Linked DNA regions of Astyanax mexicanus. The protein of the gene in region 3 purifies or fractionates together with the protein of the main gene of each other region. This does not show direct contact. Links are inferred from orthologs where the notes say so. Each region holds a gene or a part of one and is shown on either strand. Other genes may lie near its edges. The genes, in order: ccnd1, runx1, hdac3 and atxn3.

What was found.
Region 1: the proteins of hdac3 (region 3) and ccnd1 purify together in Homo sapiens (affinity purification with western blotting; 5 studies listed by BioGRID and IntAct, with this or other methods). This does not show direct contact. The link is inferred for Astyanax mexicanus from reciprocal best matches to the Homo sapiens genes HDAC3 and CCND1.
Region 2: the proteins of hdac3 (region 3) and runx1 purify together in Homo sapiens (affinity purification with western blotting; 3 studies listed by BioGRID). This does not show direct contact. The link is inferred for Astyanax mexicanus from reciprocal best matches to the Homo sapiens genes HDAC3 and RUNX1.
Region 4: the proteins of hdac3 (region 3) and atxn3 purify together in Homo sapiens (affinity purification with western blotting; 3 studies listed by BioGRID). This does not show direct contact. The link is inferred for Astyanax mexicanus from reciprocal best matches to the Homo sapiens genes HDAC3 and ATXN3.

What each region holds. Positions count from the first base shown.
Region 1 is NC_064423.1:33,877,854-33,885,223, reverse strand, and holds the start of ccnd1 (G1/S-specific cyclin-D1), read left to right. Parts: upstream 1-4,368; 5' UTR 4,369-4,721; coding exon 4,722-4,919; intron 4,920-6,495; coding exon 6,496-6,711; intron 6,712-7,149; coding exon 7,150-7,309; intron 7,310-7,370. UniProt on the Homo sapiens protein: Regulatory component of the cyclin D1-CDK4 (DC) complex that phosphorylates and inhibits members of the retinoblastoma (RB) protein family including RB1 and regulates the cell-cycle during G(1)/S transition.
Region 2 is NC_064428.1:5,713,010-5,720,638, forward strand, and holds the start of runx1 (runt-related transcription factor 1), read left to right. Parts: upstream 1-4,629; 5' UTR 4,630-4,983; coding exon 4,984-5,080; intron 5,081-5,254; coding exon 5,255-5,422; intron 5,423-7,629.
Region 3 is NC_064417.1:54,131,501-54,138,915, reverse strand, and holds the start of hdac3 (histone deacetylase 3), read left to right. Parts: upstream 1-4,390; 5' UTR 4,391-4,519; coding exon 4,520-4,574; intron 4,575-7,067; coding exon 7,068-7,150; intron 7,151-7,266; coding exon 7,267-7,409; intron 7,410-7,415. Other genes in the region: myot (myotilin), read left to right, coding at 1,011-1,141. UniProt on the Homo sapiens protein: Histone deacetylase that catalyzes the deacetylation of lysine residues on the N-terminal part of the core histones (H2A, H2B, H3 and H4), and some other non-histone substrates.
Region 4 is NC_064421.1:14,488,690-14,495,944, reverse strand, and holds the start of atxn3 (ataxin-3), read left to right. Parts: upstream 1-4,235; 5' UTR 4,236-4,316; coding exon 4,317-4,340; intron 4,341-5,942; coding exon 5,943-6,107; intron 6,108-6,197; coding exon 6,198-6,242; intron 6,243-6,689; coding exon 6,690-6,775; intron 6,776-6,873; coding exon 6,874-6,940; intron 6,941-7,030; coding exon 7,031-7,118; intron 7,119-7,229; coding exon 7,230-7,255. Other genes in the region: gamma-aminobutyric acid receptor subunit rho-1, read right to left, coding at 1,450-1,565. UniProt on the Homo sapiens protein: Deubiquitinating enzyme involved in protein homeostasis maintenance, transcription, cytoskeleton regulation, myogenesis and degradation of misfolded chaperone substrates.

The DNA.
Region 1 (7,370 bases), on a different chromosome or scaffold from region 3:
CTAAAATACAAATAGGTTCTTGTCCCTGTGATTAAATGTTTATGCCTGCCTATTTTTCCTCTCCAGCAGTACGGACTGGTCACTTGCTGCCTAAAACATAGATCCCAAACCTAGACAGCTGCCATTGTAACCAGACAGTCTATATTATTTATGTTCCCTCTCTGTGGTATTATTGTTATGGCTAATTGACGTATATGCATAAATAACATGCAAATGGTATTTATGCAGGCCTTCTGAGTTAATGACAGGTATTATTTGTTTGAAAATAATATTAAAATACATGCAAAGAAACAGTACAATAGTTATGTGTTAGCATTTATAATCCATTATATGAGGTAAACATTATTTAAGGGTTTCGGTTCCAAAATAATTTAAAAGCCATTTAATCATTTTTAAAGTTGTTGAGAGTTAGCTTAATGCATACATTTTAGCGGTAAACTCTTACACACACTGAATAATAAATTACTTAGTATATATATATATATATATATATATATATATATACTTTTGCACTAAACATACTTGACCATTCATCCTTACATTGCATACTAAATCAAATTCTATATTGTACATACCTAAAATTAAATATATTTTTTACCTTTCAGTATTTGTTTCCTTTATTATTCTTTCATTAATATTATATTTTATGTTATTATTTGTTATTAAATGAGATCTTGTTTTTTAAAAGTTATATAGTTCATCCTATTATCCTAGCTTTTCACTCTTTATATCATATAAACTTTAATTCAATTAGTTAGAATTTTTAACCATTATTAGAACAATAATTGTGTTTTTATTTTGTTAAATTATGTTTTAAAACAGTGTATGTGTAACAGATATTAAAAAACACAATCCTGTGTTCTTCACTGCAGTCTTTAAAATGTATTATATTAATAAAATAAGTGTTTATTGTATGTGCGGCATGTGTTTTACTGTAAAGGAGACTTTTTACTCCAATATAATGTATTGCACTCTGTTATCTAAAAAATCTAGTCAAGTCAAGTCAAGTAGTTTTATTGTCAATACTGCATATGTACAGGACATACAGAGAATTGAAATTACGTTACTCTCCTTCCCAATTTTACAGCAAGTACAGATAATAGATATAGTAAAAGAGAATGGGAGAAATTATGGGTACAATACAGCAGGGACACAAATAGACATACATGAGACAGAAACAAGGTGCAGTGGTGTGGGGAGAAATAGATATATAAATATAAGTAAAAAAAGAAATAGATATATACTATAAAAGAGTGGGAGACACTATATGTACAATACAACAAGACACAATAAACATACGTAAGACAATAGTGCAATATTGATGGTGATTGAGATGGAATGACAGTATAAATAGTATATATCAGTAGTGCAAATACGGTATATGGTATATAGCTTAAGGCTGGTAAAGTGAATGAGTGCGTAAAGTTCTTAAAGTTCACAGTTTATGGGGAATTAAAGTGCGAATTGACAGTGCAAGTATATCAGTAGTGCAGGTTTGGGTGTGTAGTGCAAGTCCGTTTGGAAGGGACCAGTACTTTGTGCATTGTAGTGCAGAGTTTCAGTACTGTATTAGTGGGGGGTCAGGATTCTGAGTGAGTGAGTCTATTTATTGTTATCTATTTATTGTTTAGGTAACTTTTTTCAAAGTGTCCAAATAACGTACATTTTGTAGGAAAATTAAATCAATGTCAGATAATCAAAAACAATTGATTATTAAGGTAAGTTTTTGTGTTTTATGTTTAATTAAGTCGTTAAGTTTAATTGAAAAGTTTAATTGAAATCGCTTTTTAAACAGCTGTTTTTTCTCTGAAACTCAGAGAATGTCCTTTCAACTTGCAGAACAGGCCAGCAGCAATACTACACACATTCATTATTTCTGTAAAAAAAAAAAAAAAACTGCCATATTTTAATAACCCTTAGTTTTTAACCCCCTGGTTTTATGACACAACATTATACAGCTGTACTTAAATAAATGGTAAATTCACTAGTTACAATAAAATTGTAACTCAGTCTGAAGTATCATCTGAGTTCACTTTTATTCATGCTTAGCTGGAGCTCCCTGATCAAAAAAAGGAACATATTGAAACAACGTTCATTAAAAATATCTGAGGAAATGAACGAATGTAGCAACACTGCATCCAGTTCTTCTTTTAAATGAAGAAATAAAACACTGCTCTGCATTTATGATGCAAGTCTTTTAAACTCTGAGAACATGTGAGAATGGTCTCTGCTGAAAGGGACATTTGCAAGGCCTTAAAACTTTCTATTCAGTTTACCGTATTAGCAGGAAGAGCAGCACAGGCACAAACTCACATGGTCTTTCATTCAACAAAGACTCTGTGTTGTAGCTCATGCATGTGGGTGCAGGGTGAACATGCAGAACAATGCAGAACTATATATAAACTGTGGAATCGGTTTTAGGATATTTGGATGGGCTTACATTTTAGCAAGTAACAGGTTGAGACCCACTTACATGCATATGATTTATCTTTTTCAGATTATTTATCTATGTCTTGTTTAACCTAGAGGCTTTTTTTTCTTTATATGGTTTATCTAACGTTAAATTAACATTTTATTAGACCTTATACAATGCGTGCATATAATCTATCTCAGACTTTTAATACATATCATATGTACTATTATAATTATAATTATTCAGTAGTAAATTTATAATTATTCAGTAGTAAACATGGAAAAAGCAAAGCAAATATGGGTAGGCTTTCTTGAGTTATATGATTCTTGTATTTGGTTATTTAATTTAGAAGGGTTAATGTTTACTGTGAAAATAAACTATGATTATAAGTACTTTAAAACAGCGCCTTCTACAGATATAATACAGCTTATAATATGTGAATAAAAATGTAACAAAACATTAGCAAAAAAACATACTTTATATATTTTTTTAGTTTCAAACTGTTTAGCACTTCCTTGTTCGTGTCATGCTGGTATGTAACTGCTTTGTAGTTGCTTTGTTACTGTGTGAAAACTTTTGTGCCCTTTTCCACATTTACAGCAGTGTTTTTCTGCATTTTAAACAGCCTCCTTTTTTAACCACGGTTTAAAACTTCGTATATGCAGCGAAACAGCTCCGTGTGCAATCTAAAACAGAGTTTAAAAAAGTTTACATTGTTTATGTAAGAAGCAACAGGCAACTTTTCTTTCCGTTTTTTTTAGCGCGACTGTATTAGATGTTATACGGTATCCAAAAGTGTCCAGTCAGGAATGTGAGGAATTTCAAAGGCTCCAATTCATCCCAGCGACAGCCAGCAGTGAGGTCTTTAAAGTGAGAGCGCCCCTATTTGAGCAAAACTGTTAACATCACACACTCACACACAAGTCTGAGACTTGAGAGACGCATAAAAAATAGATATATATATTTAAAAAAAAAACTTATCATAGATCCCTTAAATAAATCTTTAATATTTTTTCGACTTGTCTACTTTAATTAGAAATAACTTGAAATTATTTGATGTAATGTTTTTAACTTTTTTTCCCCTTTTCTGATAATGCAGAGTGTTAAACTGCGAGTCTCTTTATTGACTTCTGTCTTTACTTTTCTCTTCCTGTCTGTGATCAAACTGCGGTAGTTGTTGTCTTTTTGTCTCTTTTTACTTTTTTCACATTCCCACACACGTTCACCCAATGAGGGGCTGAGATAAAAAGCTCCACAGCTCCAGCCGCAGTTCTGCCTGGCAACTGAAGTTTGCGCTCATTGGTTCACGCTAATTTCGGCTTCCTCCTCTTTTTCTCTTTTCTTGGTGTGGAAGACAAAGAGCTGCTACAGCGTTTAAAACCTCATTTCCCCTAAGTTTCACAAGTTTTATGGCAGCCTGTATCTAAAAGAATGCGCCACAAGAGAAGTAGAAAACGCATTTACAAATACAATTGTAATAGAATGGCAGCATTTGTTTTTATTTTTTAATCACACAGTTTTATTTTAAACTTATTTTTGAGCCTATAATATTACTGTAGAAATTGTGAACATGCATAAACGCACTCTAATAACGCACTAATATACTAATAATAAACCTAAAGCCTGACAGTTTCTAGAAAGTCCAGCTCCATTGCGCTTTAACTGATAATAATTAGGGTCGGTGATTTGTCCTGTTATACCGCCCCCTACCAACATTTCTAGACATTTACACATCTTTACACCACCACCACCAAAAGCACCAAAAGCACCAGCAGCACTCTCTCACTCATACTCATTTGATACCCCCCCCTCCCCCTCCAGCCTAGCTACACCTCCTCCTCCTCAAAAGCCCCCTCGCTCCTCCTCTGTTGCCTACCCCCCACCGTCTACCCCTCAGCCGTTCGCCACCCGGGGTAAAAGTAAAAAAAAAAGGACCTCCCATTTCCACACTGGCGGCAATAGAAACGACCACAAAGTTCTCTCTCCTTCGTACACTCCCTCTCTCTCTCTCCACCTCCCTCTCTCTCTATCTCTCTCAGGCCGCGCGCGGCGCTTTGATCTTCCTTAACAACAGTCACGTCATCCAAAGGATTTTTTTTCTTTGGTCAAGCGGTGGATTTTTCTCTCTCTCTCTCTTTCAGTCTCTCATACAGACAGACGCACACTCTCTCACACACTGAGTATAGCAACCGCAGCAGCAGCAGCAACAACAGCAGCCGCAACAAGAGCATCATCCGCGGGACGCACGCTTTAATCAAGTGCTTCAATTAAATTATCTGCCGCTAAAACTGTGATTACCCCGAAAATCATGGAGCACCAGCTGCTGTGCTGCGAGGTGGACGCCGTGCGGAGAGCCTACCACGACACGAACCTGCTGAACGACCGAGTTTTACAGACCATGCTGAGGGCTGAAGAGACCTACCTCCCCTCTCCAAACTACTTCAAGTGCGTTCAGAAGGAAATCGTGCCTAAAATGAGGAAAATCGTCGCCACATGGATGCTGGAGGTTTGTGTTTTCAGACAGAGGCGTTTTAATCCCATGTCTTTAACATTGCACAACTTTTTTGCGCTTTATTCTCTTCCTCTCCCTTTCTCAAGACGATTCTCCTCACGCTCTTTGGACCTCTATCTCTCCGCACAGGCCTGGTAGAAACCGGAGGAAACGCTTTAAAAAAACATTCTCTATCAGTTTGTCACGGCTTAAAAGCTATAAAAGTGGATTTTAATGCTCGAAAAGTGTCCGAAATACACTTTCTAAGCCACTTTGCTTTTTTTATTTTGAGAAAATAAAAAAAACACCTCAGGAAAGTAAGTTAGCTATAGGAAGTCTCGAGCGATTTTTTTTTTGCGAGGAGGTCTCCTTTCCGCTTTAAAAAATAAAAATAAAAAAGCCTCGCAGAGATGTGACCACTTTCGCTTCGTTTTCTTCCCCACCCAAAGAAAGATCCTCAAAAACATTTAATCGAATTTATTTCGATTTAATATCGATGTACACGTATGCAATCCCACTCGTGCCAGTAGCCTATTATGCGCCATCTTTGCTGCCGCGCCGACACAAGTTCTAATAATATGTTAAAAAAACACCTCAAACGATTATAACATTTGAAGACAATGTGCGAGAATCACTCTTTATCGCACATTTAACTTAGTGTTTGGGGACTGAGGTGAATTTTGAGGTGCAATGTAGTGGTTTAAGCTCTTAAAACTTTACTTTCAGTTCAGACACGAGCCCCTCCGCTTGTCGGCTTCTGAAGCTCCAAGACGTACAAAAATGTTATTTTTTACGTTTCTGAAGCCGAACACAAGCCCGAAACGGTTCGGGTTCGGTTCCTTAGGGTGTGAGGCGGATTTAGACGTGTATAAAGTGGGGTTTAGTGCGCAAGAATAATTTATATTAATTTTTCAAAGCGCGCTCGCGGCGTCGAGCATGTCCTTCAGTCCACATTTTCACTGTCGGTGACATTTAAATTAAATTTACCCCTTTAACCTTCACAAATTCGACGTTTTTCGATCGGAAGCGATAGAATATACGTCAAAGGATATTTAGAGACTATTTAGGTGCGCCGCAACAATTTTGTTATATTTTTAAATATTTTTTGAAAAGATGACGAACTAGAAATTGTGACGACACCTTTGTAGCATTCTGAAGGAAGCAGCCGCTGCTAGCATGTGCACCACTGCTCGCGCTCTCTAGAAAGCCTCTGGTGCTAAAGCCGTGTTATCAGCTAGCTAATGCTTCTCTTTAATCTAATTATTAATACATTTATTTGCACTGCAATAGATGGATTTTTTTTAGGCTTTTCAGTATTAAAGCTATGCCCGGTGCACACAAAGCACGTGGGACTTCCACAAGTCCATTTTTTCCGAGAATAAAATTTTTTTTTTTTAATCAGGCCTAATGTTTAATGTCTTCTTTTACAAATACTTCGTTTAAGACTAAGTGCAATCAATCTCACTGCTTGTCTTTCTTGTATTTATTTTCTTCTTTTCTTACATTAGAAATCATATGTAAGTTGTCGGCTTTATGGCTTTGTTTCTCAACTTTTGTGACTCCTGACTCAAAAACTCTTCTCTCTTTTAAGGTGTGTGAAGAGCAGAAATGTGAAGAGGAGGTTTTTCCCTTGGCTATGAACTACCTGGACAGATTCTTGTCTGTGGAGCCCACTAAGAAGAGCAGGCTGCAGTTGCTTGGAGCTGCCTGCATGTTCCTGGCCTCCAAGATGAAGGAAACCGTTCCTCTCACAGCTGAGAAGCTCTGCATATACACAGACAACTCTATTCGTCCATGCGAGCTCTTGGTAATTAATTACATTAATTATAACAACACAGTAATACACTGAAGTTTATGAGGTTGAGAGGGTTAATCACTCTTGGGAGCTTTTTTTGCTTGCATTAAGGTTTTGCAGGATGCATGCAGTGTTGCAGTGCAGTTCTGCATTTTAGTTTTTAGTCATAGACAAACCCAGAAAGTGAGAGAGAGAGCGTTTCAGAATGGAAACTCCCTGCATGTCAGCATTTAAATGGTTGTGGGTTGAAATGTACTGCTAATTGAATAGCTTAAATCAATTGAATAGCACAGTGCTATTGTAGCTCCTGAGATATGACCCCATCTAGTGGTCGACCGTTAGACTACTGACTGCTTCTGCTCAGTGAGAGCACACATGGTGGAAGCGTGAAGAACTTTTTGAAGTCCTTTATGTAAACCGCCGCTCTGTTCTCGTGTGTCTTTCTCACAGCAAATGGAGCTGCTGGCGCTGAACAAGCTGAAGTGGGATCTAGCCTCAGTGACACCACACGACTTCATTGAACATTTCCTCACCAAGCTGCAGATACACCAGGGCACCAAGCAGATCCTGCGCAAGCATGCCCAGACGTTCGTGGCTCTATGTGCAACAGGTATGTATGCGTGATCCACATTTATACCTCTCTCTCTTGTTTTTTTCTTCTTTTGACCAAT
Region 2 (7,629 bases), on a different chromosome or scaffold from region 3:
TATAGACAGATGCACTGCGGGCTGGATGACCCCCTGACCCTGTCTGACCCTAAAACCCGAATCTCCCCGGAAACTGGAGGTTAAAGGAAGCTGCAGCTGCATGATGTCAGCATTGTTTCTTTAGAAGCTACTCTATATATCTTCACGATGATCTCAAACTTCTGCTTTATCTCATCTCACATACAGTGACATATGCTGCCTCTAAGCCATGTCAGAAATATTGCATAGTTATTATCAGAATACTGTGCCCTCAAACCTATTCTTTTAAAACTTAACATTAATTAATATGTATATTTTTAATGACTAAACTAATTATGAAGTGAGAGTAGAGATTAAGAAATTATTAAAAATTGCAAAATGTTCAATAATATCTCAATTCATACAATTTCAACAGTATTTACAACATTCTAAAGCATTACAATTTATTACACAGCAAAAAAAATTTAATCTTAGTGAAGTGAAGATCTAAGTGAAATGATCCAATTTTAAGGAAATAAATCTGTAATTTAATGTTTAATAATGATGAGTTTCAACCGTTCCACAGTTATCATATTTTTCGGACTATAAGGCACACTTAAAATCCTTTAATTTTCCTAAAAATGGACAGTGTGCCTTAATTTATGTACATTGCACTAACACTAGCTCGGACTGTAGTCTTTGTGTTTACCATGTTAAAACAAGCTCTGTATAAAGCTGATAATACTCTGGGTTACCGAAACACATTTACAGCATTTACGTCCCACTAGCACTGTGGTTAGCAGCTAATGCTAATGCTGCTGCACCCAGCCTTAGTGCTGGAGAACCTTCACTGAAAATTCAGTAATACACTCTTGCACAAAATACTGGAAATGTAAGATTACTGTCAATATACTGAAGCCCTTTACTCACCCAAATAAACAGTTTTCAGCAGAGAAATCTGTCTAGATTAACATCCAGCACTCATATGTTTTTAAAATACAGTTTTGTTTACTTAGCCTTTTTTTTTTCTCTAGCTTCTCCATTAAAAGAGAAACATGGCGAAACCTGTACTCACTTCGATGTAGGCATCCTTACTAGTGTCACTTAATGCAGCCTATAATCTGGTGCGCCTTATGTATGAAAATAAACCAGAAAATAGACACTTATTAAAATTGTGCCTTATAGTCTAAAATATATGGTAACTTGAATAATTAGTTGCGATATTGCTTAAACATTCATTAAAATGTTTATTACTGTTTAAAGCACTTTTATTCATGTAGCGTTATTGTAAAATTCCTTTGCCAGAACAGAATTTTACAATACAGAAATCTAAACAGTTTTATATTTCCACTTGCATGCATGTGATGAAAATGTGGTTGACCTTTAATTCCATGTTTTAATTTTTCATTATTTTAATTACCATGATATTAGACCATATCAGGGTGGACAATCTTTACCTTCGCTAAAAATTGAGACAAAATTTTAAGTGTCATTAATATTTTTAATTGCTGAATATCGTCGCTGTCCTATAAAAAACACTTATCTCCTTTTCTGTCGATTTTTAGATTACTACATAATTTGAACAGACAAACTCTCTCACACTGTGCCAAATTTATTGATGAACAGATCAAAAGAAACTTTTCAAAATGACCTGAAATAAACTAATTCTACATTGACTTCCATTAAAAGTTCACAAGGTTTTTTTCTCTCCTGTAAAGTTGCTGTTTTGGAGATAAGTGTTTTTCATTGGACAGCGACGATATTCAGTAAGTGTCTTCAGTCCTTTAGAAATAAAAGAGTGTGAAGGTTGTGATGTCACCAACATCAAAGATTGCTTTCTTAAAGATGCAGATATCCCAAGATTCCTGGGTGGACAGTAAAGACCATTAAAGTGCATTACAGTTTAAATGAATCAAAAGGAAGATACGGTATATACAGTATCAGGCAAAAGTTTGGACACACTTTGTCATTAAGTTTTTATCTTTATTTCTTTATTTAATGTATTTTCTACATTGTAGATTAATATTGAAAAACATGTAAATAGTTAAGGGACACATATGGAATTATGTAGTAAACAGTAAAAAATTGATTTGAGGTGATTTAATTGGGATGAGCTGGAGCTTCACAGCAAAGTGAAGGAAAAGCAGCAGCTATTGGTCAGCACCTCCAGAAACTCCTACCTTCAAGACGTTGAGAAAACTATTCCAGGTGACTCTCCCTCATGAAGACACTGAGATTAAAATCTCACCAAGAGTGTGCAGATCTGAACTCAAAGATAAATGTAAATTTAAAGTATAAAACATATTCTGGGTTGTTTAACACTTTTTGTTCACAGAATAATTCCATGTTTCTGTATAGCTTTAATATGTTGAATTTACAATGTAAAAATAATATATATGTTATATTTATGATATTTTTACATTGTAAATTCAATATTTGGATATACTGTATAATACTGTATAATAATTCCCCTTAATTTCACAGGGAAAATTACATTGGCTGGTGAAATGACAAACTCTTAAATGAAACAGATATGATATATACTACGATGCTAATGACATTACAGGTGTAACATATATATATTTTCAGTGCTAATTTTTATTCATTACATATTTTTTACTGACAATTTGCACCATTTGTTCACCTATTTAGTTTAGAGTAAAACATAAAAGTGCCATTATCATATAAATCAAATGTACAATTAAGGGCAAAACACACAGATCCACTTTCCCTCTACAAACGTCAGTATTTTGCCCCCGGAGTGTGTCTGCGTCTGAGTCTGAAATCTGAGTCCAGTGTGGGTGGGGTAGCAGCTGGCCATGCACGCCGATGCGAACCGCCACACTCCGCCCCACCATACTTGACCCCAACGCCTAAATTACTGTGTGTAAAAGTGAGCACAGGTGTGGGTGTGTTCGGCATGTGCTGGAGGTGTGGTGCAGGTGGAGGTGTTGCGAGTGTTCGTTACAGGGGGCGGGTAGGGGACAGGAGTGGACGCAGGTGTCGGAGGATGATATAATGGGCTTGGAGGCTTTTTGCAGGAGGCCCTCGTGGACGTGGTGTTCTTTGCACACGATTAGACCTAAACAATGGCTGGTTTTGCCTGATGATGGACAGTGCCCTGATGTGGGCAATACTCTGGCATGCATTACACACCACCTGTGGAACTGGCTTTAAATAATGTGGACTGAAATTATATAGAATAAACATCTTATAGGATTCAGTTTGTGTGCCAGATATGCAGCAAGTGAGGGCAACCTATATGCGTATATGACTAAAAAATAATTTAAATATCAGTATATAGTATTAATGATAGACAATTGGGTGTTTTATATACATATCTAATATTAATGAGAAATTGCATTACTTACATAAATTGTCAATTACTTTTAACAGTACAGAAATTAGTTGTGAGCAGGTTTGGCAGTTTAATAGCGACATCAAAATGACTGTATTTATGTATTGCCAAAATTAAGAAGTATAATGTTGGCGTATTTGGTGTATTTCTTAAAATTTGCATATTGTAACTACTATACCAAACCATGTCAGTTTAGAAACAGACCAATAAAAATCTTCAGAATGAATAGAAATCCACTCTTTTTTTATTACAATACATATAAACTGGATTAATATTGATGCATATTGCGACAAAAAATGGTAATATAATTTTTTTTAAATCTTTTTTATAATATTTTATTACATGATGCATTAATTAGATTAAAAAATATTGTGTGACATTTTGGCTATATGGTATGTATGTATGTATATATTTGATTTCACTAAATAAAAATGGATGATTACAAGCCATCAAACCAAACTGAACTGCTTGAATTTTTGCACCAGGAGTAAAGCAGCATAAAGTTATCCAAAAGCAGTGTGTAAGACTGGTGGAGGAGAACATGATGCCAAGATGCATGAAGAAAACTGATTAAAATCAGGGTTATTCCACCAAATATTGATTTCTGAACTCTTAAAACTTTATGAATATAAACTTATTTTCTTTGCATTATTTGAGATCTAAAAGCTCTGCATCTTTTTTTGTTATTTCAGCCATATATAAATATATATTTTTGCCTTTTGACTGAACACACATGCAATCCTCTTTGAACCGCGCTACTGTAAGTAAACACACTCTTTCTTTTCTCGTGCAAAATATGTAGATAAAGAGATATGAAAAGATGACATGTAAATTCTGACAAGCTGAGGTGGTCAGATGCTGCTACAGACACAGGGCTAATTGTGTGCTCTCCTGGAGAGAGATTTGCATGTTTAGACTCTGTTTGCGCTGTAGATTCTCTTCTTACACAAACAGTCATGTGCAGTTATTTTAGCTTCTCTTCTGAACTCGTCTGAACTGTACTGCTTTTTTCTGCTGTGTGCACCTGCTGTGCCCTGTTTTACACTATTACTATTGCATGAAAAAAGCAAAAAAACGAAAAAACACATCAGTTTCCTCCAAGAGAACGTAGAGGAGTGAGGGCTGCTGATAGAGCCTGTGCTGTGCCCGTATTACAAAGGGAAACCTCTAAACACAAAGTCAGAATGAAATTTGCACCACAGCGGACCATGTGACCGTGGCGGCCCAATGGAGCTTGAGCTGTTAGGGTTAGGTTGCTTTTTTTTATAGAAGGGAAGAGTTAAACTTGTCACTTGGCTTGGGAGCCGCTATTCTGTGGGCCACCACAACCACAAACCAAAACTGCCACCAGTCACGGCTCCCTGAGCCCTGGAGAAAAGTGAGATAAAGATAGAGCGGGGGGACCAGACCGGACCGTACGATTAAAAACGAAAGAGAGAAGAAACTGAGAGAAGAGAGTGCTGAGTCTACGTGTTGATGTCAGATGTCAGTGTGAATCACCCGGATTACTAAAAAAAAAAAAAAAAAAACGAGAGCGAGAGAAGAGAGAGAGAGAGAGAGAGACAGAAACCACAGCGCGACATTTCTACTCCTTCTCTTTAGCACAAGGGTAAGCATCAGTCGACCGCAGTCTGACCGCCGATCACTATCTGCAGTGTCTCTCAACCATGCACAACACGCAAGGACACAACAACTGCCCTGATGCCACGACCGGACCATCACTGGATGACCATGGACTTGAGGGTGTTGAGGGTGTGGGCGTTGGTGTGTAACCCAGGGATTTTGTTCTGTAGACTTTCAGTTTATTTAGGGAGCACTGTGTAGTGGAGGTTGTCCATTGGTTCTAAAGTCTATAGACTTTTTTTTTACTGATCGTTTCTTAGACCATGCACACCTTCTTACACAAACTCACCATGCCTGTACCATTGGTCTTTCCAGGGCAAAGCAGCAGCACAGACTCAAACTTCAAAATTAGGAGCCAAGTCAAGTTGGAGGCGCTGGACTCCAGTGAAGAGGAGGACAGCGTTTTTGAGAAGCAGCCACTCGCCATGGCCTCGAACAGCATCTTCGAGACCTTCTCCTCCTATCAGTCTTGCTTCACCAGAGGTAAGTCATGTTACGTTTAATTTATATTTAGATTATATGTTGATACATTGCTCAGAATTTCAGAGACACACATTTGTGAAACAAGAAGTTGACGGCTTAAGTTCTTATCTTATCTTCTTAGCCTGACTGCAATCTAACAAACTAATAAGCATGATGGAAAGTAGAGGCAAAACATCCAAAACGTCACACTGGTTGGTTTGCTGTGTCAGTGGTGTACTGAAATCTCGTGGCTGAATCTGAAAACCACAGGTCTGTGGGTTACTGAGTGTTCCACTGGTTAACCTCACTCCACCAAGCAATAACACAGCGGGCTTTTACGAATGTACTGCAATGCCCTTTGTTCTCTGCAATGCTCCTGTGTAAAAAAAGAATAACATATTTGCGTTAGATAAAGTTTTCCTGTTTGTATATGTAAATATATATATATATTTTTATATAAGGATGTTATGGACAATGTTAATAATGTTCATTAAAGTGTGTTGCTTTGAGTAACTTTCACAAAAATAAAATATATATACATTTTTTTAGAAGAAAATGTTCGTTGAACATCTTTCTTGACAATTTCACAAAACACCTTTAAGTGGACCCTCCACAGTTTTGACCACTAAATAATAGAAGTTTGCCTGTTTTAAGACTTTTGACTTTAGTTTAGTTTAGTTGCTGGGTGTGAGAGGGAGGTTAAGGCTCATCACTGCAGCACAGCATTCTTTGCCTGTGTGTCAGACACCTGGGATGGACAACAGACTCAGTTTCTGCTCTTCACTCCCATGGAGAGACAGGGAGCTGGTGTTTTATAGATTTTATGATATTGAGATTGAGGTGGGGGGACAGATGAACTCATAAACACACCCAGAAATTAGAACCTGAAGGAGAATTGCACTGAGGAGTAATGGTGCATATTTAGCAAGCGATGATCTTAAATTGACCGCAACATTTTTTTTCCTTTCTATATCTTCTGCATTTACAGTAGCTGACATACCATACAGATAATCACATTTGTTTCCTGTAATTCACTGATGTTATTATATACTGGTATTAGTATAAATATAAGGCTAACATATTATTTTTACTACGCTAATTAGGTGCATAAGAATGATCAATATTCCATGGTATTGCAATATTTTCTTTTGCACTACTGTATCAATTTTAAAAACACAGTATAGATTTTTGTACAATAATTAGTAGTTCATATTGTTAGATTGGTTTTAGACAGTTGTTTAGTTTGTGCTAAACTCTGACTTGGTCATTAGATCATGCAATTGAGATTTGATAAAAAGTTAAATTATTTTTTACACATATATTATAAATGCATGTATCTTTTTATACTATAGCAGTTTTTTTACATACACTGTCCTAATGTTAATACTGCACATATAAGTCAAGTCAAGTCAATTCAAGTAGTTTTATTGTCAATACTGCATATGTACAGGACATACAGAGAATTGAAATTACATTACCCTCCTCCACAATTTTTACAGCAGGTACAGAATATATATATAATAAAAGAAGGAATGGGAGACACCCATGTATGTGTACAATACAGCAGGGACACAAATAGACATACATGAGACAGAAACAAGGTGCAGTAGTGGTGGGGGGTGAAATAAGATATATAAATATAAATAAAAAGAAATAATACATATAATATAAAAGAATATGAGACACTATATGTACAATACAACAAGAACACAATAGACATACGTAAGACGGAGGACAATAGTTTAATATTGATGGAGATTGAGATGGAATGACAGTATAAATAGAACCCGTATAACAGTAGTGCAAATATGGTATATAGCTTAAGGCTGGTAAAGTGAATGAGTGCGTAATTACTCATTTTGTTGGACAATATATCGCCCCAGAAATAATTGCAATACATCATAGTACTTGTCATTTAAAGCCACTAACATATTGGCAATATACTAGAATAATAATATTGCAATAACACATTTTTAAAAGCAATAAATGTTTAGTTATTTATTTCTTTCCCTAATAAAGACTGTTCTGTGTGTATGGATGTGCTGTTTTTGATGCACTGGTCATTGCACAACCTGCTAAAATACCTAAGATTTTAATTTGTATGCAAGCAAACATGCAATTAAACATAATTAATGTCAGCAAGAAGGTGAACAATGAAGGTCATGATGATTTATTGTACATTTTTGTACAGTATTGTAGGTTTCAGGTCAACTGTAAATGTTTTGTAT
Region 3 (7,415 bases):
GCTTTACATGAGAAATAAAAACATTAAGACAATTAAAATAAAAGAAAACTCTCTACCTCAGTAACTGCTGTGATTATATATGTTCTATATGTTACAGTATGTCACACATCTCTGCACCTTATCCTCACTATACACTCTATTATACCGTATCGGTACTGCACTGTCCTGTCTTTAAATTGTCTCGTCTTTTGTATTTATTGTATTTATTGTTATTTAGTGTTATAATTTTATAATTTTATGTTGCACTGTCGTCACTCCTGCACTTTATGTTGTCTATTGCTTGTTGTTCCATGTTGCACCTTGGTATTAATAAGGTGCATTAAAAAGAAAAATAAACATCTTAAAACAACAATAATAAAAATACAAGTAAAGTATGATAATACTGTAAGATAAGGGGAAAATATACATGCAGTGAAGTAAAGTGCTTTAGTTAAAAGCACAAGAAAACGTTTTTAGAGCATTTGTGGCATTTCTAATATTTTCTGGTGGTTTGTTTCAGTTATATACAGCATAATAACTAAAAGCTGCTTCTCCATGTTTAGACTGGACTCTGGGTTTAACGAACTGACCCGAGTTCATGAATCTAACAGATCTATTGGGTCTATTTTCTCAAAACAGATCTGCAGTGTATTCCGGACAACAACTGTTCAGTGATTTATAGACTCTAGATCAGCAGCACTTTAAAGCACTTTTATAACTAACTGGAAGCCAGACAAGCAAAATCCAACAATGCATGAGAATATTGCATATATTGTATATTATGGTTTCTGTTGGGTTTTATTACCTTGTACACCCAACCTGCCAATTTATTAGGAATTAGATTGTTTGCTGTTGTTTCAATGAAAGAGTCTTTATTCTGCTTTTTTATATATTTTAGCCCTGATTTGGTGTAACTCTAACAGGAGATACTCAGGAGATCCGTCACACTTATTCTGTTATTAGTGAACTACTGTCTGTTCTCTGTTTTCTCTTTTACACTGATAATTATAAGTGTTTTATTATTATTGCAGCTCGGGTGAATAAAACCGGGACTCCAGTAAAGCCGGTGAAGATGCTCCCCATCATCAACCAGTTCTCCAGCCTGGGTTCAGAGAGCAGCCCCCGCCACACCGCGCCGCTGTACGAGAGCGAGGAGCTATAGACTCACCCAGAATCCTCCCTTCTGCTTATAGACCTCAGTGGAGACGTGTCTATAGACCTCTACGCCTATAATATATTTAATATAGAAAATATCCCTCATAATCTTCAAACACATATAAACATATACAGCTCTGTAAAAAGTGAAGAGATCACTTCAGTTTCTGAATCAGTTTCTCTGATTTTACTATTTATAGGTTTATGTTTGAGTAAAATGAACATTGTTGTTTTATTCTATAAACTACAGACAACATTTCTCCCAAATTCCAAATAAAAATATTCTCATTTAGAGCATTTATTTACAGAAAATGAGAAATGACTGAAATAACAAAAAAGATGCAGAACTTTCAGACCTCAAATAATGCAAAGAAAACAAGTTCATATTCATAAAGTTTTAAGAGTTCAGAAATAATCAATATTTGGTGGAATAATCCTGGTTTTTAATCACAGTTTTAATTTCATGCATCTTGGCATCATGTTCTCCTCCACCAGTCTTACACACTGCTTTTGGATAACTTTATGCTGCTTTACTCCTGGTGTAAAAATTCAAGCAGTTCAGTTTGGTGGTTTGATGGTTTGTGATCATCCATCTTCCTCTTGATTATATTCCAGAGGTTTTTAATTTGGTAAAATCAAAGAAACTCATCATTTTTAAGTGTCTCTTATTTTTTTCCAGATCTGACTTATATCATCTCCTTTAACTTCCACCAGTTAATAATAAAATAAAGATATTTTTAAACACACCGTCTGTAGGCTGGTATATGATCAGACTGGCAGATTGATGCATAAATATTAATGTAAGGAATAAGTACAGATAGCAGTATATTTATACTATTTCTTTATTTATTCTTTATTATTTATTATCTGTAAGTCTGTAAAACAGCTGAAGTAACTGCTGCTCTGTTTAAAATGAAATTATATAAAAATTATAGTAATTATAATGATATATATAGAGAATAATGAGCAACATGTAACATTAAATGATATACAACATAAATAACATGCATCAGTGCCAAATTAAATAAAAATGATTATCATAATCACTCATAGTGCCCTTTTATTTATATATATAAAAAATATCATCGGTTTGTCTGAAGCCTCTCATCCCCTGCATTAATCAGATGCACTTTAGCCTGGATTTCAATTGAACTCTTTCTGCCTTTAACCCCCCCCCCCAAACACACGCACACACACACACACACACACACACTTATACACTCAGACAAACATGTGTACCCACAGCCCTCTGATCAATACTGATCAATAACCCGCTGCTCTACTGAGACTCTTCTCCCGCTGCAGTGATATTTGAGCTACTTTTAGCTGAAATTATAGTTTTGTGTAATTTCTGATCGTTTCTCGGCTCTCTCTGGCTCTGGAAAGTGTTTTCATGTGTGTTAGAGTTTAGAATGACTGTGTAAAGTTTGAATTTTATGTAAAGATTAATGAATTAAGAAAAATCAAGTGCTTATTTATGTTGCTTTTATGTGCGACTGGTTTAAATGTAGAAATATTAATAATAATTATATGTTTAAACATAAAAAAAATCAGTGGTTTTGAGCTGAAGTGAACAGCGGGTGATTATACTCTGCCGTCTTTACTATACTACTATACTACTGTACTACTGAACAGGCTCTGGAGATGTGTCCGTACTGTCTGTTTAAACTGATATATACAGGTGTTGGAGAATGAAAGTGAAACACCTGGTTTTAGAGCACAATAATTGATTGTGGTGACGGACAGTTCTGGTGGAAACAGGAGAGTTGAGGTGCACATTGAATTCTGCGTGATTTGATCAGCCGTGGTTTTATGTTTTTTGGATACAATCCGGGTTAGCACCCGAACATCCCTTTCAGACAGCTTCCTCTTACAGCGTCCACAGTTAATCCTGTTGGATGTGGTTGGTTCTTCTTGGTGGTATGCTGACATTACCCTGGATACCGTGGCTCTTGATGCATCACAAAGACTTGCTGTCTTGGTCACAGATGCTCCAGCAAGACATGCAGCAACAATTTGTCCTCTTTTGAACTCTGGTATGTCTCCCATAATGTTGTGTGCATTGTAATATTTAGAGCAGAACTGTGCTCTTACCCTGCTAATTGAACCTTCACACTCTGCTCCTACTGGTGCAATGTGCAATTAATGAAGACTGAACACCAGGCTGCTCCAATTTACACATGAAACCTAAAATCCCACTAAAATGATGACAGGTGTTTCAGTTTCATTGTCCAACCCCTGTATGTGCTGTATGGTGTTTTGCTGATATGTGCTGTATGGTGGTACTTTTGTACAGCAATAGTGATGGCTAAAAATACATATTAAGAAAATTTCACGTTTTTTCACGTGCAAATTTAAATTGATATGCATTTATAAATCTAAACCTAATATTCAGATTTGTCAATTCTCATATTTATAAACTGTTAGGTTAAATTATTGCTGGCAATGTTCGTGAACTGACAGTTTAATTTAAAGCATTTTCTGTAAAATCAATAAATAGATCAATAAAGTTCAGATTGATATTTTAACCTTCCTGTCGTGTTTGTTTTTTATATTCCCAAATGAAAATGAACTCGATTATAAAAATTATGCAAATTCAAAAAATCATACATAATGTATTCTGATTGTATCAAGCTAAAATCAAAAGTAGAAAATTGGGTATAAAACTTAATTATTATTTTTTTCCATTTTTAGAATTTTAAGTAAAACGAAAAGCTGAATCTTCTCTTTATTTTCAGATTTGTCAGTTTTTGTATCTAGTAACACAAATCTGATGGTATAATCTATAAACTTGCAAAATGCAAACATTAAAAAATCAGAAAATAAAGAAAATATTTTTTTCTTTTCATTTCCATCAATTGTAAAATGTATGAAAACGTATTTCTTGTACACTAAACTACATAAAAAAAATGAAATAATGAGTTTTTACATCAAATTTCTATTTTTGCATTTAGCCTTAAATGGTTAGAAAATGTAAATAATAATCGTTAAATGGACCATTAATGAAGTAACTTCAGTTCATTTATGATTTATTCTGTTAATTTATAGCAATGTTTTGTTGCTTATTTGTGTAAATGAGTCTTATATCATAGTACATTTCTGTCTTATAGCTTAACAATTTCTTACAGTTTTCAAAAACAATAAAATAAATATATAAGTGCACTTCTAATACTGGTGAACAGTGTTTACACCCTATGAAGTGCGGAAGTTTGTGTGGTTGGAACGTGCCCTACTTCGATGTCTCTGTCCCCGGTTGATGACGTATCTGTGCGCGTGTATATGATGGCGACTGTGCGGCGGATGTGTTTGTAGCGGTTTGGCGGAGAGTTTTATCGAATAATCGCATTTTAACGCTTTTAATCGATTGCTTAAATCTGGTGGTAAAATGACGAATCGAACGGCGTATTTCTATGACCCGGATGTGGGTAATTTTCACTACGGTAAGCGGAAAATGAGGAGCTAAAGCGGCTAAAGCTAACAGATTACCTCAGAACCGCGCTAGCATCTCAGTTAAGCTAACGGCTAACTGCAGTAAATAAACTCCCCATACATTATTATTATTATTATTATTTTTTTTATTATTATTATTTTTTTTTAGTGAGGGTTTATCTGTAGATTAGGGGACTAGATTAGCAGCAATGTATTACCCCTGTGCAACTAATAAGCAATATGCAATTATTTATAAATACACTCTTAAGAGTTCTGACTTTTTATTATTTGTATTGAGTATATATTGCAAGGTGTATTTTGTATATATTTTTGTACTGAGCGCATTGCTATCCCTTTGCAGCTGTAATACTGTGAATTTTCCCACTGAGGGACGGTAACTAATGCTGACGCTTTTCAGTGTAAGCTAGAACTGTTTTATTGATTTTGTGAGTAAATAACAAAACACTGAGATAATAGAAAGCTCTAAATATTCATTAATTAGCTAATTTTACCCTTTATTGGTTTCACCATATTCCGCTTTTTACCCATATTTCATCAAATCAGACCTAATTTATTTATATAGTTTTTACAACTGATGTTGTATGAATCAATAGAAATTCTCCTGAATAACCTGAAATAAACTCATTTTACAACTTTTACAGTGACTTCCAATTAAAGAAAGTTTTTTTTTTTCTTCCTCCTGTAGAAGTCCAAAGTTGCTGTTTTTCGAGATACTTGTTTTCACTTTACATTAAAATTTGCTTGGGAGTGAGATAAGATAAAATAAGATAATCCTTTATTAATCCCACAATGGGGAAATTTACCATGTTACAGCAGTGCAGAGTAAAGGACAGAGAAACAGGTCAGGAAAAGGTAAATACAAATAATGATAAATCTATATATACAGAAAACCTATTGTAGGAAAATATATAAAGATAGTTTAAAAAATTATATATAGTAAAAGAAAATATATATATACATCTAGTGCATAGAGATATGATTATGGTAGGGTGGACCAGTATTATTGCACAAGAGTAACAGTGAATAAATATCAAATAAATAATAGATAAAAACAAAAGTGAGAAAAAAAAATATTGCACATTAAATAAATTGCACAAATGATGATCACAGTACCCGTAGTGAGATGGATATTGCACACCGTAAGCATTACAGCTACACTGAGTAGTATGTAGGTTTCTATGAAGTCCTGAGATAGTAAACTAGTGTTTACTGGGAGCGCGGTGTGTTGTAAAGTCTGATGGCGTGTGGAACGAAGGACCTGCGGTATCTCTCCTTCACACAGCGTGGGTGCAGCAGCCGGGTACTGAAGGAGCTGCTCAGTGCTGTCAGAGAGTGGTGCATGGGATGGGACAGGTTCTTCAGCATGTTGTTAAGCTTAGTCCTCATCCTCCTGTTTCCCACCACCTCCACTGGGTCCAGAGGACACCCCAGGACAGAGCTGGACTTCCTGATGATTCTGTCCAGTCTCTTCCTGTCGGTGGTGGAGATGCTGCTGCCCCAGCAGACCACTCCATAAAAGATGGCTGATGCCACCACGGCATCAAAGAAGGTCCTCAGTAGTGTCCCCCGCACGCCAAAGGACTGGAGTCTCCTCAGGAGATGCAGTCTGCTCTGACCTTTCCTGTAGAGAGCAGCCGTGTTGTCAGTCCAGTCCAGCTTGTTGTTAAGGTGGACACCTAGGTACTATCCGAGTCCTGGATGTTCACAGGCACCGGAGGAGAGTGTTTGGTCCTGCAGAAGTCCACCACCAGCTCTTTGGTTTTTCCTGCGTAATAATTAAGTAATGGGGATCACTTACGGCCATGACTTATGACTTTACGCTTGTTTCCACCCTAATGTAAAATAGATAAAGGTTAAACAATAAAGCTGTAAATTAGAATATTGTTCTAATTTGATTTTTGACTGTTCGCTTTAAATCAAGGAAAAAGACAGATTGTGTGAATATGCATAATTCACTTTATTTTGATTAAAATCTCATGACTTTGTGGAGAATAGAGCTGCAACTAATGATTATTTTGGTAGTCGACTAAACTGACGGGGTTTTTTTTCCGATCAGTCGATTAGTCAATGCCATTAGTAATTCTGCCATCTCTAAAAACGATAGAAACAGCAGAACATGAGGTTTAAATGGCATTTAAATGTCTGAACGTTGTTTAAAATGGAAATTACTGATGTTTACTGATATAATATGTAATGAACACTTTTGGAGACACAAATTAGCTAAGTCTCCCATTGCGCTTCTGTCCCCAGCACTTTGTGTAATGTGTTACTGTTACAAATTAACGATTAATCGACAATGTCGATTAAAATAATCTGCATTGTCAATTATATCGACTAATTGTTGCACCCCTGGTGAGGAACAGTTAAAACTGATTAAATGTAAATGTTTTTATTAATACAGAGCATATTCAAACTCCCACACTCTCACAAATGTGCATTCTAATTGCTATATGAATAACGTTTCTGATTGGCTGTTTCTGCAGGTGCTGGTCATCCAATGAAACCCCACAGACTGTCCCTCACCCACAGTCTGGTCCTGCATTATGGCTTATATAAAAAAATGATGGTAATTCACATTTATTCTGAATTAATTACTCTTTCTAAAGATGTAATGCATTTTTATTAGTTTATTTATTTTTACACAAGCACAGCGCTTCTCTAACTTATATCTTTCCCCACCAGGTTTTTAAACCATACAAAGCCTCTCAGCACGATATGTGTCGATTCCACTCAGAGGACTACATCGATTTCCTGCAGAAAGTCAGCCCAAACAACATGCAGGGCTTCACCAAGAGCCTCAACACATTCAACGTTGGAGACGACTGGTAAAC
Region 4 (7,255 bases), on a different chromosome or scaffold from region 3:
GAGGAAAGCACCGGATCCCCACTCTGAAACATCACAGACCCCTTGTGTATTAAAATGTGAGTGATGCGGAGGGGTGAGTACAATCTACCCAGGGGCAGCATCACCTGGGATTAAACTCACAATCCTTAGGCCACAGTGTCAAAGTCTTAGACTGCCTAAACCCCCAAATACAGTATTAAAATATTTTTAGAGCACTTTTATAAATCTTTAATGCTGGGTCTAATTAGAAAAAAAGAATGTGGGAAATACAACCCCACACCCCCACCAAAAGTTCACACTGTTCAGGTACAGAACATTTGAAAAGAGACTAAAAAGGGTAAATAAAATAATAATTAAGGCTAAAAGTGTGTTAAACATGGATTGGGTGTATCTGACACAGGAGCATTATTGTTGTATCTTACAGTTAAACATAACAGGAGGGTTAGTGATCTAAATAGTTTGCAAAACACCTTCTACAATGCTGTACACAGGCTTCCTAAAATGGGTGTTTTTTATCCTCCACAAATTCGCAATGTAGATTAAATCTGCTGATAGTGCTGTCCTTACATTACCTGAATATCCTCACACCTCAACACACTCACTTCATCACTCTATCACCTGTGTGGCAACCTGTATTGTTTTGTTGGAGTATTATAATGATAAATATATATTTGGTGGTTCTCAAAAAAGAATAAAATTAATTCTCTCTCAAAAAAAAGTACAATATTCTTTAAACAGACTAACTAAAAAGCTAAAGAATGTTCTGTGGGATATGTGTGTGGGGCCTCCTGCATTAAATTGAGATTATTTCCTGCCAGAGTGATGCTGCTCTGCTCACATGTACAATCCTAGCCAGATGCTGTTGGTCATGATCATTATTACCCACAATGCTGATTTCTGTGACATATTCACTACTTAAACAGGTATTGGCATTCCCAAGCTATTGCTAATTGGAATGTCAGTGTAAAGAACTACTGATTTTACTAAATAAGCTTCGAAAAACACTTTAAGAGTGTAGAAAACAGATTTAATAAAGTGCTAAATGCTATGTATGTACCAATTTGTATTGGAAAACCACTAAAATATGAAGGACGAGGCTTGAGAATAACTGCCTTAAAGTCTAAATGCTTTCTCTACAGATATGTTCCTCAAAGCATTACTTAAAGTCTACGTAAACACGTGAGCTTGGCAAATCAAGCTCTAAAGAGTAAAAATAGCATTAAACTCATTACCCTCCTCTACAAACACAATCTTATACATGATGGATGTGCTGCTCCAACAAAACATTCTTAAAGATCAGATTAAAGTCTTACTCTAAGCTGTCTTTAAACAGTTTGCAGAACTAAAACATTGTAACAACTTACACTGAAGTCACCACAGTATGTGATAAAGCACAACAAGTGGCACAAAGACACTACAGAAAGTTCTGTATATACTCTTTCAATTACATTGATCAAATTGGTTCTTTACCTGCTTTGCTTATAGGTCTCCAGCTTGTGACCCCTCTGGTAAGGTGACATCCCGGCCACACCCATAAGGTAGGTACAGAGGAGCAGGACTACAGCATCTGCCTGCATGGTGCACATACCCTTACACAGCACCTCCGGTCAGATTCCGCACACCTCACGGGCAGGAGCAGCTCCTGAACACACAGCCGAGGAGGACATTCTTTTTTAGCACTGGAGCTCAAGAAGAACACACAGCTCTGCCTTCACTGTAAACATCCCTCAGTGCTTAATCTCCCCACTGGGAAAAGCAATTTTGACTAAACCCATAAATCCTTGAGCGTCAGATGGCACAGATTTGATCCCTCCAGTGGTGAATGTGCCGTGCTCTGCTCTGCACCGCCCCGAACCAATTCTCCTAATGATCCACTGCTCTGCATTTCAATGTGAGGTCAGTCACGAGGATGGAGGATGCTGCACAGACAGACAGCAGCACTAACTGCGAGACGCTGGCCCCCCTTTCAGTGCGCTCAGATTATCCAATCTGGCTGCATTTGGGAAGAATTTCTCTAAAAATACTGGGCTTTACAATCGCGCTTGGATGGACCTAAGTCCTCTGTGACATTTGCATTCTGCACATGACTGTACATTACAGCAGTCTGTAATACAAGCGTTTACAAATCTAACACAAATCTAGCACTTGCAAAACAGTGGCTTAGTAACTTATAGTGCACACACCTACAGAGATAAAAAACAGTAAAAACCAGCTGTGGCCATCATCGTAGATTTGGGTTAGTTCTATGAAGAGTCACTTTAAAAATTGGAGTTAAAAACGTGTGAGCGTGTGTGTTTGATGCTGGGATTTGTGATCTTAGTGACCTAATTCTAGTAAGTGGGAATGCAGTAATGAAATTCTGAATAGAAAATGAGAAGCAGTGGTTCTTATGGTTATACATTATTGATAAAATTTAGTTTATACTGTCTTTTCAGGCAGTAAAGTTCACAAAGCATAAGCCTAAACCAGTGTGCAAAATGGCACAATTTTGGTCACATTCCAGCTGAAAAACAACATGGCCAGCTCACGAGTGTAAAGCTGGTTTACCACCCTATATTTTGACTAAGGTAGAGGGTATGTTTAAGTTTAATAGTTTATTTGGTCAACAAGTATGATCAACCAAAGCAAGCTAGATACCCAGTATGACCAAGCTTACCCATGCTGGCATTGTTAAGAATGTTTTTGTCTGGATGTCCAGCTTTCATCCACTTAAACTCATAATTACAAAAACATTTATAGCAAGTAGATTTAGCCTAAAATGCCACAAGCTACATCAGCAACTAACTTTTTCTAATTAAAGCTCCTACATTTTCTATACTGTAATTTATACTAGGAAAGATTCTAATTTTTTCTGATATCCTCAATAACACTTGCATTTACTAGTATATTGTAGGCCCATAACCCATGTCACATAACATTGAGGTTTCCTGTACCTGTTAAGCCTAATGTCCTTAAGATACTAAACTTTGCATTTTAGACTATTTGCTTTAAATAGGCTGTAGGTAATGACACACTGATGACAGGAGAGGGGAGTCACACAGACACAAAATTTTTATATTTTCCTTATATAGAAAATAGCAGTTTAAATATTGGATATTAACACAGTAACCACAAAAGAACATAACACTGTGGTTCATTCCCTTTCATTCTATAGAAATTAAGCCAAACAAGTCAAATTTACACCCAGGCTGGAGTCCAGACTGTAAAATGGGCTGTTGCATTGTTATTGGAATAGCCAAAGCTACATATCGCATGACCTGCGGTTGCTTCACTTTTGAGAGATGCTGTGCTGTCCATACTTTTCTACAGTAATTGCTAAAATCCTGAAGTAAGCCAAGCTGTAGTTTATGTTCAGTCTGTGTTTATGCTATAGGTTTAAAGTTATCTGCCAGTTTTATTATTCTTTATGTGCAGTGTGAATACAGCAGCTGTTTCTGTAGACTGAATTACAACCATGAATTTCTTGTGTATAGCACCATCTGCTGGACGTATCTATCAAGCATTCCAGCCTTGTTGTATACTAGTTGTGTTCTGGAGACAGAATAATCAAATTCAACATCAAAGAAACAAAATAACACCTAAAAAATCATATAAACATTTGTAGGCATTAAGTAAACTGCTGAGCACATAGTTGCAGCACTCTTTGCCCTGAGAACACCTACAGTCCAGGCAGTGCTGTGCTAAATTAGGCCTCAAAATATCCAAAGGCAGATCTGTAAGATGTGCAAGGTGCTCTTGAACTAGAAATAGAAAGTATGAAAAGAAGCCTAGAAAAAAATTTTTGTGGGTACGGCCATATGGACCAAGAACATCAAAAGCCTTATATTACATTTTTTAACATCTCTCTCCCTTAGTTGTAGACTACGAGTCCAATATTTTTAAAGCATTAACTAAAGTAGCAATGACAATAACAAAAAATGGTGGATGTTTCTAGTTATGGTGACTGCACGATTTATGATGGAGTATGCATATTACAATCTTTTAGGTAAATTTTCCAGAATTTGTGTGTATTTGTGCAATAAATGATGATGTTGAAGTAAGCGATTTGCAGTTGACTTTGTATTTGTTTGTTTTTCTGTGTTTATCTTTTGTTTCCCCATATGTTTTGAATATTATATGTATTATATATTGTCTTTTGGTATATTTGTGTTTTTATTATATAAAATATTTTTTTATATTTTATTTTTATTTATTTTTTATTCATCTCTCTCTCTCTCTCTCTCTCTCTCTCTCTCTCTCTCTCTCTCTCTCTCTCTCTCTCTCTCTCTCTCTCTGCTGATGTCACGCGCGGGGTCAAAGTTGGCCAGTAGCTATGATGCTTCATAGACAATTCAAACATGGAGTCTATCTTCCACGAAAAAGTGAGCTCTGCTTTTCTTTCCTCAGTTTTTATAAGCTCGTTACCGGCCAGTTTGGGCGCGCTCGGTCCTGTGGTTATTAAGACTGATAGAGCTGAGTTTAGGGAAAGTGTCTGAGTTTATTTTGGCTCCTCTTAGCTCTTTGCTAGGCTGTTAGCTCGCTATCATGCTAAGCTAGCTCGTTAGCTAACTGATAACCAGTCAGCGGATAGGCGGTGTTTTGACCGGTTACAGGGCAGTAGCTAGCGTGTGAGTTAGGGGGTGCTTGTTGGGTTTATTTTTAATTGTGTTCTGATGTTTTCGAGGTTGTATGGGTATAGTATCGCTGTTGGTGTAGCTGAGAATTCAATGTTTGGGAAAAGAAGTTCCGGAAAGCAAAAATCCGGCCCGGGATTTGGGTGTAACCGCCCGGGCGGCTGTGCTGCAGCTGTGCCTTACTGGCGGTTTGAACAAATTCCTGCGGTGGATTTTTAATTCCTGGACCTGGGCTACCCACTGCTACAGATAGTTGTCTAACCAAAATAATTATAACCTAAGTGCGCATAGCTAACTAACTAACTAACTAACTAAATGTATATGATTAACAGCAGTTACTGTCTAAATTATTGACAGTTGGTAAATATTTAGTTCTTACTTTACCTAGCTAAGTTACTGTGATTGCTTATTTTCTGTTTTGTTGGACTAACTAGATTAATTAGCTTTAACTTATTTGGGACTTTAATTTTAAATTCAGGAAATTATGTCAAAAATTTCATATATTATGATATAATATATTTACCATATCATCTAGCTTCATCAGCATGTGACTATGCTGTTCATATAATTCATATCGTTATATTTTATAACAGAAATTAAGAAATGTATCGTAATATACTTTTTGGCCATATTTTCCAGCGCTACTAGAATGGTTGTTTGGAATGTCGTCCACATGTCTATTAGCGGTGGTGGTGTCTGTAAAATAAAGTATGTGTCCTGTTGGCCTGTCACTATAACTATGTTATTGACTTGTCGTACACTATATGGAAATTACATCAATAATTTTTCCAGACCATGTCCAAAGAATTTTCTTAGCAAGAAAAGCAAAATAATGTGAATGAGTTTGTATGTGGACTATGAGACTGTCTAAACATTTTTAAAAAGTAAAAGTCCATTGCTCTTTAAAATGGGATTAGTGCATTAATATGCTACTATATTATCAGTTGCATACAATATAATTTTTTGCTATTATGTTTGGGGTAATATGTCGCCCACAAAAAATATTATGAAATATTGTGAAATCACTAGTGTCCAGCAGTTTATTAGCACCTGCCATATATTTTTCTGAAATCAATGGATTTTTATTTGTATTATTTTTTTTTGTGCCAAAATTATAAAACATTGCTCTAAGGATTTGCTAGGAGATTAATTTTAGCCATAACATTTAATTTAGCCATAAAAATGTATTTTCAATGTTTTTTTTTACTAAGAGTTTACACTACTGTCATCTATTGTTTAATCTAAAAGTCATTGCCTTAAAATATGTGTCTGATATTTTATTATGTGGAAGAAATGTGTAGTTTCTGTCTATTTTCAGAATGTAAAATATGCTAATTCATTGCCTTACAGCAAGAGGGCTCTTTATGTGCCCAGCACTGCCTGAACAACCTACTTCAGGGTGAATACTTCACTCCAGTGGACTTGTCGTCGATTGCACAGCAGCTGGATGAAGAGGAACGGATGAGGATGGCTGAGGGGGGTGTGCTGAGTGAGGAGTACAGGACATTTTTACAGGTGAGTAAAAGTATGATGTTGAGGTCACAGTTAATGTTAATAAGCTATTCAGCAGCTTAACAATGTTTTGGTTGTTTTTCTGTATCCCAGCAACCATCTGGAAACATGGATGACAGCGGGTTCTTTTCCATTCAGGTGAGAATTTTTTGTTATTTAAAATGGTTTGTTATTAATAATAATAACAACTCCCAATGTTTTATTAATGTGCTATTCCATGCCACACTGCTAGATGTCACCAGTGCATTGGAAGTGTTGACATAAGACTATTATTTATAAGCTTAAAAAAAACACATTGATTAATTCAAATGTACAAAAGTCATTTAGCATCAAGTAAAGTTTGTTCAGTTGCTTGTTAAGCTATTTACCTGAAATGTTCTGCATGCTCCAGACTGTCAAGCAAATATCCACAAATATGCATTTAATTCCTGATCTTATAGTGGGTTCAAAATCTGTGTTCTGACGTGACATGGAATAGCATATATTTTAAGGATGTTTATAGAAAATATACTTGTATAAAAAAAATAAAAAAACATTTTTTTCTTTTGTAATTGTAGTTAAACTGCATTTATGTTGCCATTGCAGGTGATAAGTAATGCTTTAGGAGTGTGGGGTTTGGAGCTGATCCTGTTCAACAGCCGGGAGTACCAGCGACTAATGATAGAGCCGGTGTAAGTTTCCTTATGTTTTATGTGTAACTGTTCTCGAATTAGTATTTCTGTTGTAGTTATTTTTAAATGTTTAACTCAAATTTTGTCTTTAATTTTAGAAATGAAAAAGCCTTTATATGTAACTACAAGGAACACTGGTTTACAGTACGAAAGCTGGGCCAGCAGGTAATACCATTAAACAATACCTTAAAGTGTCTGATTATTATTCTACTAAAGAGAAGTAAAATCTTATACATAGCTTGTCCTTCTTTGTAGTGGTTTAATTTGAACTCGCTTTTAACGGGACCAGAACTAATATCAGATACATACCTGGCACTTTTCCTTGCACAGCTACAACAAGAAGGTAAAGTCGTTTTGAGTACCTTTGGAACTGTTCAAGTACATTTAAAGTTAAGAGTTTCCCCTGTATTTAAAGAGAACCTTTACTATGTGTGTGTTCATGTTTTGTCTTTAGGGTATTCCATCTTTGTGATTCGAGGG